Oryzias latipes: one gene and its partners. The protein of the gene in region 1 interacts with the protein of each later gene in a pairwise test. Links are inferred from orthologs where the notes say so. Each region holds a gene or a part of one and is shown in the gene's direction. Other genes may lie near its edges. The genes, in order: nrip1, rorb and cep70.

Region 1 (4,119 bases):
TATATGAATGGATGCATGGATGGGTAAATGAATGGATGCATGTATATATATATGACTGGATAAATGAATGGATGAATGGATAAATGAATGGATGCATGGATAGATATATGACTGGATAAATGAATGGATGACTGGATAAATGAATGGATGAATGGACAAATGAATGGATGCATTGATAGATATATGAGTGGATAAATGAATGGATGGATGGCCTTCACAGTAGGATAGCAGATTTGAATAGAATAGAATAAAATTGTATTGCTCCCACTTAGGGGAAATGACCTGACATTACCTTTACATTGAAATGTATAGAGATTTGACTGTACATCAAGCATCCTAGGGTTACCTACAGTCTGACTCCAGTTAGTTTCTTGAAACCAGTCTAGAAGTGAAATAGTTACCGCCTCCCTTTTGCATCATCTTAGACTTTTCAACGAATGCCATTCTGATTGTAGTAAATACAACTTTGAGGGGGCATGAGTTAGTATTTGTTGCAGGTCATCAAAGTGTCCCTCTCCATCTACATACATCAAGGTTTTCTTTGGCTTTCACAAAAGAAAAAAGAAAAAAGCAAATGAACACCTGTCCAATACAAGACTCAGTCCATCCCTGCAAAGCAGCCGCGGAGCAAAGGCTGCAAAGGCAGCTTCCAGAATGATGTTATTCACAGCATCCCATTAATGTTTCATTAGAACATCTGACACAGTTACAAACTAAACAACTAATAAATAAATTACAACTGAAGCCTACATACATGTGTCTCTTTAAAAGAGTGAAATTAGGATCATGTTAAGGAACCAAGATCCAGATTGTGACCCAAAGTTCCCCCGTCATAAAATAAACATCACAATTATAAAGAGATGATGTCCTCCTAAATTATCTTATGGAGAAACAAGAAATAAGTCAGAAAAACCTCCAATAAGATAATTTATCCAATCATATGATCTTTTTGATTCACATTGAGGTCATGGGGTCGTTGGAATCTGCCCAGCTACTGCCAGCCTAAGGTGGGGATCATCCTGGACTAAAAAAAATAATTATTATAATTTACACATTTAAATCAAATTAAAGAAAAATGCCCAAACGCGCGTGATCATCTTTTATTAATGTTCCCCTGAAAGTGATATTTTGGCTCGCGGGAACGAGCACCACTGTCTCCGCGTGATTCATATTTGATAAAAGCGCGCGCTTGGCCACGCGCACAGAACTGAACCATTTCTTTTCTCCACTCTGCGCGTGCGTGGGCCGCAGCTGTGGGGCTTGTTCCTTTAAGGGTGGTGTCAGAGCGGGGCGGGGGGAGGAGGTGTCAGAGGAGGAGGAGTGAGGCAGTCTCTCACTTCTCCACAGAGGAGAATAAACAATCCGCTCGCAGCGCGCGCTCCCCACCTGAGCTTGCGCGGAAACTGAACATTCGAGTCGATATTCGGACTAAGGCTGTAATTTTTACTCCTCTAGAGCCCCCCACCCCGTGCTGTTGGAGCTGCCCCCGCTGTCGGAGCTGCCGCGGCCGGCTCTCTCTCCGCCGTCAGCCGAACAGCGATGCGCCTCTCCGGCGGAGCGCGCAGGTAAGGGGGGGGGGGGGGGTCTGGGTGCTATAACGGGGAAGTCTGGGTGCTGTCATGTCATGTCGGTGTGGGGGTTGGGGGGCTGTGTCACCGCTGCCCGTATGGCGGGTGGGTGGAACGGCGGTCGGTGAAGCAGGCAGCGGGCCGCGCGCAGAGGGATGTCGCGGGAATAAACCTGCTTCCGCTCCGCCTCACCGTTCTCCTTCATTACCGCCCACGGAGCGCGTGTTTCCAGGCCACGGCCTATCTCACGTAAGTTCCGCATGTAGCCGTGCGATGTGGCGTGCGTGCGTGCTCTCTGCGTGGGTAATGCAGGCGCGCGCGCCGTAGGACAGTCGGAGGAGCGTGATGAGCGCAGGGATCTGCGGAGCGCGATCCCCCCTCCCTCAGCTGCTCCAGCTTTGATGACAGTTTGAGGGAACGGTTCGGAGCGTGCGCGCGCGGTTTTGTGTGTGTGTGTGTGTGTGTGTGTGTGTGGGGGGGGGGGGGTCTGGATGCGCGGTGGTTCCGGTCTGACCCACAGCTTGCTCACACACAGACGCTGTAGAGAGGTCTGCAGTCCAGTCGTCCAGGTTTATCACGGATCATCTCAGGATCCTCTTCAGTGACCACTCTTTACACCTGCCCCCCCCCCCTCCAGTGTTGTTCACGCGTGGGAACAGGCAGGACTATATGGGATGCTCAGTGGGACTCCAGCTGATCGGTTGTGTGGTTCTCATGTGTTGTTGGACTTTGCATCAGCGTGGGGGCACAAAGGTAAAGTTGTGGGTGATTTTTCCGGGGTGGGGGCAGAGTTCAGGCTTGTAACATCCTGATGTTGTGATAGCGTGACAGAGCCGCTGCAGGAAGGGTCAAACATGGAGGCCTCTGAGGAGCGTCTGCGTCCGGAGGTTTGGCCCTTCGCCTCTTTTTTCCCAGTTTCAGCCACTGGATTGACCTGAACTCACCCACTCAGGATGCTCCACACGGGGCTCCGCTCGTTTCCACAGTTTGAATAGCACTGGGCGGTTCCACCTGAGAGATTGTCTCACACAACCTCTGTGTCCCTCAGTTGCTTTGACAGACATTTGCGGTTGACCGTTGTGTCCTCGCCTGGAACTTTCGAACGGCCAAATGCAAATGATGGGACAGCCTCTGAGCAGTCACAAGACTGGACTCTGCACTCTGCGCTCCGTCCACCGGCTGCTTTTCATCACAGCAAAGCTTATCTGCCAACAAAACAAGAGCAGCGCCACTGCGGCCGCATGCAGGTGGCGTGCTGGGACGCGCCGCTGCGTGTTCACAGGTGTCATAAAAATGTTTTCCATGGCCTCAGAAGAGGAGAGGGTCAGTGCTTTCATCTCTGCTCCGGACCAACAGAGGGAACTCTTGAAAACCGGTTCACTGCAGAGAAACGGGCCGCGGGAGGCGGCGGCTGTCGGGTCTTGACTGTGGAGACGCTGAAGAAGGAGGGAAGTGACGGTACAATCTAGCAGAGAGCAAGAGCCATGCATCTGCTGCAGAGTTCTTGATTTATGACAGAGCTGGGAGATGCCCAGCGCAGGAGCTGTTTGCCACCGAACATTGTTCAAGGGCACTTTGGCAGGAGACGACGAGGATCAGACTTCCAGTGGAAAGTTATTACATTATAGTTAGTGTGCTCAGCAGGACGGAGAACTGATGGGATGCAGTTACCATGCTGCTCCACGAAGCATGCTGACATGTAGGACCAGTCTCTGCTGCCATCGGCATCCGTCACTCAGGTGTGACTGTTTCAAAGCAAACTTCTATCCCGTCATTCTTTTTGCTCATTTCCCAGTTCGGTGAAGACTTTGTGCCAAATTCTCATTTGGATCCAAAAGCATCTGAATGCAAAATAATTGATTCCAAAAAGAATTTGATGCTAATGGAAGGTTTTTAGAGAAAACAGGGGTTTGTGCTCAAGTGTAATGTAGAATTTGTCGTTCCCTAAAAACAAACAGAAAGTGTCTGGTTTCCCTTATGGGACTCTCAGAGAGACTCTGAATTGTTCTGCAGTTTTAGGGGAAACCGTTTCAGCGTGACTCCTGTTTCACTGGGGTGTGTTTATCTGGAATCTAAAGTAAATGTAGACTGAAAATGAAGCGAGCTGAAGGCGGAGACCCCTGGACAGGATAGCAGTGTCATCAGGTTACAAAAGCCCACCCCTGATTTCAGAAGCAGCTTTGGGACAGACCCAACTTCACACCCAGTGTTCCTCATGGAGCTGTCCTGCAGGAGGTGGTGTGAGAGAAGCTAACCTGCACACCTTTGTTTCTGTCTGTGAAAAGAACAAACTGCATCCACTGCTGCCCATTTTTTACATGGACTTACTCTGCATCCTAATAAGTCTAAGGTGCAGCTTTACCACCAGCTCACTTTCTGACATCAATAGTTTGAAACTGTCAGCCAAGTGAAAACAGAGTGACTCGTCCTCAGAATAGGGGCAATTTAGATTTGGACTTTTCTGAATTGATTAGAATTTTCCAAAGCACAATATTGATGATAGACCCTCTACGGTTCTTGGGTTTTCCATCCGTCCGTCTGAGTCTGGCCC
Region 2 (4,191 bases), on another chromosome or scaffold:
CTATTAATAGTATGTTACAGGCCACATTCATTGACAGCTTTGTGTATAGAGTCCTTACGTAGTCCCAGTCCACTGCTCTACACTGACCCAGTTTGGAGCCAGTTGGCCGTTAACGGGTGAAAATGGGTCATATCTTGGACAGCGCTAGTACCAGGCAACAGTCTCTTGAACCAAAGTCAGAAGTGTTCCATTCTGTCCCATATTTCTGGTTCTAAGAGGAAAGCAGGTCTCTGCTATTTGGAGAGTTTTGGCTATAGCATGATTGCTTGACTTGCATTCCACATGTTAGGGAATTACTGTCCAAGTCAGGTTTTCTTTATGTGTGTTTGGCATACTGTAAAGAGCAGGAAAATGTCCCAGGACCATTTGTAAGCAATTTTACTAAAAAATAACGTGTCTCAGACATATCAACAATTGTATTACACATAGGGACATCATTGTCATTGTTTTGCCCATGATTTGTGTTTAAACAGCCGAGTACAGCTTTCAGTGCTGCACTTTGACAACAAAATGAGAAATAAAAAAAACTAAAGTTGTATATTATTGGCATTAATACAACAATCCTATTTTGTTTCTAATCTGACAAAGGAAAAAAAGTTTAAGGAGATAACAATGGAGCTATATGAGGGGACTACATCCCTTGGGCTGCATGTTATTGCAGTACGGCTAATTAAAAGGAGTCAGAAATGTACACTGTTACACTGGCAAACTAAAAGGGATTTGTTTAGGTAAATCTAGGGTAAATCTATGAATATGCAGCCATTGTTCAACTTTAGTGAAAGTACAAAAACAAAGAAACTGTTCTTGTATTTTGCATTAATGATTTACATGTTTAACACACATTTACAAGTGTCTCTAAGGTGCAGTTAGATTTTTGTAGTTCACTATAATCATGTCTACCTGGCCAGTTGCTATACAGACATGACTACTTTCATTGATCCTCATAAGAGATTATCCAATTATGAATATTGCACACTCATTCCACCAGGCCTTTTTACATGGACATACACACACACACACACACACACACTTAAATTACAATCCCCTTAAAAGAAAATAAAGTTTATAAACTTTGAGTTGAAAAATGTGAAACTACATTTCTGGATTTACATGCAGTTAACCATGATTTGTACATGAAAATAAGTGTTAGAAATGTTGTCTTAACATGCTTAAGTGAGATCAGTTAATCCAAACGTATACAATTGTAAACAGGGACAATTTGTTTTAAAATTCACAGAAAATGTATAAATTCTTGCAGATTTATCCCACAGGTGGAACTCTGCAAGAGATTATATGAATGGCTGTTTCAGATGGGACTAAGACACTGCTCAGCAGAGGATAGAACAAGCACGTCGGGAAATATTTTAGGATTAGATCGGCTGTCTAATCTCTTTATAGAGCCTGTGCCATCTCAGCAGCATACCTGCCTACCTCTACATACATGTACATCCATATCTTAGCTGGAACTGCCGATTTCTCTTCCTACAATGGAACACATTTTCAAAGCCACATCCTTGTGTGCTGAAATGATTTCCATGTTGTGCCTTTGCTTGTGACTTGTACATGGAGCTTCCTATACACAGTGAGTAAGATAGAAAGATAGAGATAGAAAATTAGTGTATGTCAATTAGAGTATGTTAAATACCAAGAGCAGCTGGCCTGAACCAGGGTATATAAGTGCAGTAAAAAGGGGTATGAAGAGAAAGTATTGTCCTTCTGTGATGTAACCTGTTTCCCATTATAGACAACTTTTTTTTACCTGGAGGGGTCTTCTGCGTCAAATTCAACACAAAAGATAATGCACAAAATCTAGTGATTTATTTGTGACTGATGTGCACATATGCAGTCCTGAGTGCACCAGTCAGTAAAAAAAACTCAAAGATATAATGAATGTTCACATGTCACTGTGCCCTTGTGAATTTGTGGTCCAAAATACTATGCTTGGGCACACTGTGAGCATAGTCAGGTACTTCAGTCCATCCTGTACTGTATCTTCAAATTAAACCACCTGCTGTGGTTAGTGAATGAGTAAGGTGTTACTCTGAGGAGCTAAGGGGCAAATGAACGTTTACTCTGGATTTGAAACAAAATTTGTGACCCATATCTTTTCTCCCATCTTGCTTGTTTTTTCCAGCCCAAATCGAAGTTATACCATGCAAAATCTGTGGAGACAAATCATCCGGAATCCATTACGGAGTCATTACGTGTGAGGGATGTAAGGTAAGGCCTAAATTCCATTGTCAAAAAATATACATGTTACATTTTAAGAAAGCTGAAGTTGAGACCGGTACTCTTTGTTGACCTGCAACCAGGGTTTCTTCAGACGGAGCCAGCAGAACAATGCCTCATATTCCTGCCCCCGCCAGAGGAACTGCCTCATTGACAGAACAAACCGCAACCGCTGCCAACACTGCCGCCTGCAGAAATGTCTTGCACTTGGAATGTCCAGAGATGGTGAGGCCTAGTTGAAATCTTGGTGCTGAATACACAACAATGAATACTGCTCTTGTATATTTTGAACCTATGTTCTACTTTAATAGCTCTGCAAAAAAAAAAAACTTTACACACAAAATGTACTTTTCAAAGCCATCACTAACATCTTTCCCTCTGCATCTTTGTTTTGCCCAAATACAGCTGTTAAGTTTGGCCGCATGTCAAAGAAGCAACGTGACAGCCTGTATGCAGAGGTGCAGAAGCACCAGGCACGGCTGCAGGAGCAGCGGCAGCAGCAGACTGGTGAAGCTGAAGCACTGGCTCGTGTTTATTCCACCAGCCTAACCAACGGACTATCCACTCTCAATCATGAAATCGGAGGGACATATGCCAATGGTCATGTCATAGACCTACCCAAAGGCGGCCATAGTAACGGAGGTGGAATTCCGGGGGGCTACTACGGGATAGATTCAACCCAACCGTCTCCAGATCAGTCGGGTTTGGACATGTCAGGCATGAAGCACATTAAGCAGGAGCCGGTTTACGACCTTACTCCCGTACCCAACCTCTTCAGCTATGGAGGCTACCAGGAAAGTCATCTCGGGCCCAACAATGTCAGCATGGGAGAGCTCGGTAATTTCAGACATTTTGCTCTACAGGCAAAACAGACATTATGACATGACAGTCATCTGAAGTCTGCATAGAAATTGCATAAGGAACATAAATAAGATGTGCTTGAAATAGTTCTAGAGGAGAACCTGAGACATAATTCTAAACTCAGAGTACAACAGGAGATCAGACAGGTTTACATGGCTTACTAACAATGTGTCATGACTGTGGTGACGCTTCAGGGGAAGGATATAGATTTAATGAAAAGGACAAACTTTACATTCAGTAACAAGAATACTGTCAGTAGCAGAAGAGCACACAACTCTGCAGTGATTGAAACACATGACTCTTTAATTTGATACGATTCTTAGTTATCAAATATAGGATGAAAATCGAGAATACATGAGTGTTTCTCTCTTTCAGATCGTATTGCTCAAAATATTATCAAGTCTCATTTGGAGACTTGTCAATACACAACAGAAGAGCTACAGCAGCTCGCTTGGCAGACACATTCCTATGAAGAGATCAAAATGTACCAGAGCAAGGTAAGGATTTAATGTCATTGCCATTATGTACACAAAAAAAACACCGTTTAAACACTGTATATGATAGAACAAAAAACATTTGCAGAACTTTGAATTAGGCATAGAATTCAAAGCGATTTCACAGCTACATTAGTCTCAGCAAATATGCCATTTTTTGTTTAGGTTGTATAATTCCTTCATCTAAATATATGGCATACATGAAATAATTGGGTATGATTGGTTCCAGCCCCGGGACGTGCTGTGGCAGCAGTGTGCCATCCAGATTACCCATGCAATCCAGTATGTAGTGGAGTTTGCCAAGCGCATCTCAGGCTTCATGGAACTGTGCCAGAATGACCAAATCCTACTTCTCAAGTCAGGTATGATAAGTGGAAATGCATCCAATAGATAATAGTATTTTTGATTCTATTTAGTTTAGTGTAAAAAAAATAAAACTGTGGTTTTCAACTCTTTACATTAAATATCAGCTTCATAAATATTTTCTTTTACTTTGTTCATTCAGGTTGTTTGGAGGTAGTCTTGGTCAGGATGTGCAGAGCCTTTAACCCTCTCAACAACACTGTGCTCTTTGAGGGAAAGTACGGTGGCATGCAGATGTTCAAAT
Region 3 (3,969 bases), on another chromosome or scaffold:
AAAAAACAAAAAATAGTATTTGCTAATTTGCTAATAACCCAAATAAATATTTCCTTATTAGCTTAGTAGTTAATAATTGTATTTGCTATCAAACTAAGTAGCTAAAAAAAACAAATACTAGGCTACATCTAAATGATGCACTATGTAGCTCAAGCAGCATTCTGTACAGCTGTCCGAATCTACAATTTCAAAATCGAGAGTCCTGAAAATTTCCCAGAAGTCACTGCAAACAACCACTGTCCATTGATGCTCACCAGTATAAGTATAATATAGTCCACAATGCAATTTCTTCTTAACAATTTTTGTTGAGGGGGAAATAAATGTATTTTTTTAATAAACCATTAACGTTTTCAGTGGTTATATAAAGTCGTATAAAACGCTCAAATGAACTAGATGTTGGTGATGTCATGAACATTTCAGTTTGAGAGAAAAAAAAAGCATTTTTAATGATTTTGATGCTTTTCCACAACCTCATCCCAGACAGAAATACACACTTTACTTTCTAAATCTTTGTTTGAGGCCTCAAACTCCTTTTTTAAGCTATAGATGTGTGAAGCCTTAAATATGAGGAGGATCCTCTTTGGTCTGACAGCAGAAGTGAGAGTTTTTCTCCGTCTTCTTGTCCGTGTAGCTGTCCTCCTTCCTGCGGGTCTCAGCCCCGCCGCCCAGCAGCTACCACCAGGCTAAGCGGGCGGCCGAGGAGTACTGCTCCGCCAAGCACACGCTCTACAGAGCTTTGGCTGACGCTGGACTGGGCATCTGGGTCAAGAAGCCCGCAGAGCAGGACCGGTTCTCCCTGAGCAGCTCCTGACTCCTTTCAGATGAGCTTCCTGGTTGCCATGGAGACGGGACTGGCAGCAGACCCAGCAGTCCAAAAATGGATATCCTCAGTTTTACCTTGTTTCTGACTGACATGTGCAAAGTCTTCTGGCTGACGCAACAGCGCCACCTGCAGGAGGGGAGCCCTCGTACATGGAAATCATTCAGACCATTTGTTTATTAGGAGGAAAAAAGAATTAAATGTTTGATCTTTTTTATGTTCTGTTAAGCTTTGACGCTCAGATGTTGAAATGTTATAAATAAATGAAGAGGAAAAAAACGTGAGTGAGCGAAACAAATTGTTCAATAAAGTTGCATTAAAAAAAATCTTGTCTGTCATTGGCTTATTTTAGTGACGTCATCACGTACGGTTTGAATCTGAGCCCCAAACAGTCAGTTGTGTTCGTGGCGGGTTTTAAAGAGGATTTTTGTTGTTTTTATCCTGTTGAAGTGCTTTTCAGAGGTTTCTACGGAGTCCGGACTGGTTCGGTTCCTTTATTCGGAGAGTTCGAAACGGTGCCGAGAGTCCAACCGAACCTTTTCCACCGGCATTTCCACGGTTCTCATTCAGGAAAGCGGTTCTGTTCCAGGGGACTGACGGGATGTTGCAGGTGAGTCACGTGACACTCCGCTTGGTAACTGAAAACTGAGGAGGGAGGGGGGCTCAGTTTTCAGACGCGCGCGCGCGCCAGAGCACGAGCGTTTTCAGTTGAGTGGAGGTTGTTGGGGTTCAGAGCGGACATGCGGCCCCCGGGGGGAAATGGGACGTTTGTCTACCTGTGGACCTGCAGGCAGTTCCAGGTAGCGCCGCGGTGGGAACCAGGTGGGTCCCGCTTTGACCCGGGCGGTCTGACCCGGGTTGTGTGTTTGTGTGTGTGTCGCAGGAGCAGCAGGCGGAGTGGGAGCCGCTGAACCGGCTGCTGCAGCAGCGGGGCTTCCGGCCGGTGCTCTTTGCGGACCCCGTGGAGAACAAGAACCCTGCAGGTGAGAGCTCAGGTGATGACGTCACCGCCCAGCAGGAAATTCAACCCAAATGGTCCAAAGCTGCCTTTATTTGGTTAAAAACCCAGCAAATGCGGCATTATTGGGACTAAACAGAAACTAGAATCCATTTTTGGTTCTAAATTGATGATCTGGTTCCTGCCTGCTCCTCTGTGCTTCCAGAACTGGGCCTGCTGGACAGGAAGTCCGCAGCGGCGCTCAGGCGGACTCTGGAGACGCTGCTGGCGGACTCGGACAGGAGGCAGGCTCTCCTGCAGGAGCTGGTCGGGTCCAACAACCGGCTCCGGTGAGTGGCGCCCCCAGCTCTGACTGATGACCCCCCCCCCCCCCTTTGCAGCATTGTGGGGGTTCAGGTTTCTCTGTGGTCATCAGTGAGGTCTGGTCGTCTGCAGACCACCTGTCCTGTTATCCAATCCCCCGTCTGCTGTCCAAGCGTAACCGTGGCAACCGCATCTCTGATCCCATCCGATCACACAGAGGCTTTTATTTTGGTAAACGACTGGCGAACATCAGCTGAGGGGAGGACGGCTCCCTCAGGGACAATGTCTCTGTGAGATCCAGGATCAGGATCTCCTGTCAGGAACCGTGAGCTCTGACTGACAGACGGCAGAACCAACTTTTGTCAACTTCTGATCAAACATCCGCACTTCCTGTTAGACTTTTGTTTATCCTGGTTTTATGTAAAAGTTCCTTATAAAACTAAACCCATCAACTTTCATATAAACTCAAAAACATTTAAATTGGTTTAAAGAATATTTACATTTCTTTAAAAATGATGTATTTTTGCATGAAATACCGAAAAACTTTATTTATTCTACAAAAGTCTAAAAAGGTTAAAAAAAAACAAATACAGTTTTAATGATGGGAAATGAAAAACTATTATAGAAGGATTTCAAACTGAATAAAGTTCAAATTGAAATAACAAATGGTTTTAAAAAAATGAAATCAGGCATCCTTACTTTTAGGTTTTACTTGTTTTTTGTTTGCTTGTCAAATGTAACTAAAATGAAAAAATACTCGGCATGTTAATACTTTTTTTTTTTTTGTCATTTAGTATTTTATTGGTAATTTCTTGTTTGATAAATCCATGCTCTTATTTTGAAATATTTTATTGTATTTATGTATTTATAAATTTCAATGGATTTCTTAAATTATATATATATATATATATATACATTTATTTACCACCAGTTTTAACTTGTAGTTTAAAATTGATATTAAAATATATTTTTTACTACTTTTATTTACCTTTTATTCATAGTTTGACACTAAAATGATCAGAATCATCAATCAATCTGTAAATAATCATTTTAGTATTTTGAATGTCAGTTTTAGTTCTGTCCAGCAGGAATGAAGCCTTAAAAAAGGGGGCGGAGTCAGGAAAACAGAGGCTTTTCTCCTGTTGGTCTTTTTTTATTTTTATTTCTTTATTTTTTTTCTCCAGGGAGGAGGTCCAGGAGCAGATGAGTCGCGCCGCCCAGCACTCCCAGAGGGCCTCGGAGCTGCAGGCGCTGCTGGACCAGGTGAAGGTGAAGGTCCAGGACCTGGAGGACCGCTGCATCTGCAGGGCTGCGCAGACGCACAGCCGCACGCTGCAGCTGCAGCGCCACAGCGCAGAGGCCATAGTCAGTCCCTGATCTTTGCCTTCATTCATCTGACTTCCCAGTTTTCATCAAAAACCGTAGAAATTCAGCATAAAAAAAACAAAATTCAATGAAACCTTTTATTTTGAAATGCAGCTACTCTCCCAGTACTGCTGTCCCTCAAACAGATTTCAAAATAAGAGACAAATCAACTTCTACATGCCCCTCTGCCCCTGATACCCTGATCAGAGCTGCGACGTCATGAGATGTGACACTTTCCTTAAAAAAACATTTTTCACAATGGTGCTTTTTGGTTTGTTTTATCTCCATAGCAACCATTTAGTATTTCGATCGATTTTGTTTTTTAAACCACGCCCACATTCTTAATATATTCATATAGCTGATCCATGCTTAAATCAAAAACTTCTAGTTTAAAGGTTTTTTTCTTTTCTAGGAGTTTAAATGTGTAGCTGCTCCTAAAGATGATTTTTACGAAACATTCAAGATGGTGGTCTCTTCCTCGGGTCAAAGGTCAACAAACCTTCAGTTGTAGTCGTATAGGGAG

The links.
Region 2: the proteins of nrip1 (region 1) and rorb interact in a two-hybrid assay, tested with the Homo sapiens proteins (2 studies listed by BioGRID). The link is inferred for Oryzias latipes from reciprocal best matches to the Homo sapiens genes NRIP1 and RORB.
Region 3: the proteins of nrip1 (region 1) and cep70 interact in binary tests that used the Homo sapiens proteins (3 or more experiments, as listed by UniProt). The link is inferred for Oryzias latipes from reciprocal best matches to the Homo sapiens genes NRIP1 and CEP70.

Annotation. Positions count from the first base shown.
Region 1 is NC_019872.2:2,611,418-2,615,536, forward strand, and holds the start of nrip1 (nuclear receptor-interacting protein 1), read left to right. Parts: upstream 1-1,319; 5' UTR 1,320-1,565; intron 1,566-1,710; exon of another isoform or gene 1,711-1,817; intron 1,818-4,119. UniProt on the Homo sapiens protein: Modulates transcriptional activation by steroid receptors such as NR3C1, NR3C2 and ESR1. Also modulates transcriptional repression by nuclear hormone receptors.
Region 2 is NC_019867.2:18,578,632-18,582,822, forward strand, and holds the start of rorb (nuclear receptor ROR-beta), read left to right. Parts: upstream 1-1,391; 5' UTR 1,392-1,563; coding exon 1,564-1,582; intron 1,583-2,134; coding exon 2,135-2,220; intron 2,221-2,312; coding exon 2,313-2,454; intron 2,455-2,634; coding exon 2,635-3,066; intron 3,067-3,465; coding exon 3,466-3,587; intron 3,588-3,813; coding exon 3,814-3,946; intron 3,947-4,089; coding exon 4,090-4,191. UniProt on the Homo sapiens protein: Nuclear receptor that binds DNA as a monomer to ROR response elements (RORE) containing a single core motif half-site 5'-AGGTCA-3' preceded by a short A-T-rich sequence.
Region 3 is NC_019860.2:1,160,721-1,164,689, reverse strand, and holds the start of cep70 (centrosomal protein of 70 kDa), read left to right. Parts: upstream 1-1,169; 5' UTR 1,170-1,421; coding exon of another isoform or gene 1,422-1,430; 5' UTR 1,431-1,560; coding exon 1,561-1,620; intron 1,621-1,703; coding exon 1,704-1,803; intron 1,804-1,983; coding exon 1,984-2,107; intron 2,108-3,265; coding exon 3,266-3,446; intron 3,447-3,969. Other genes in the region: double-stranded RNA-specific editase 1, read left to right, coding at 632-811.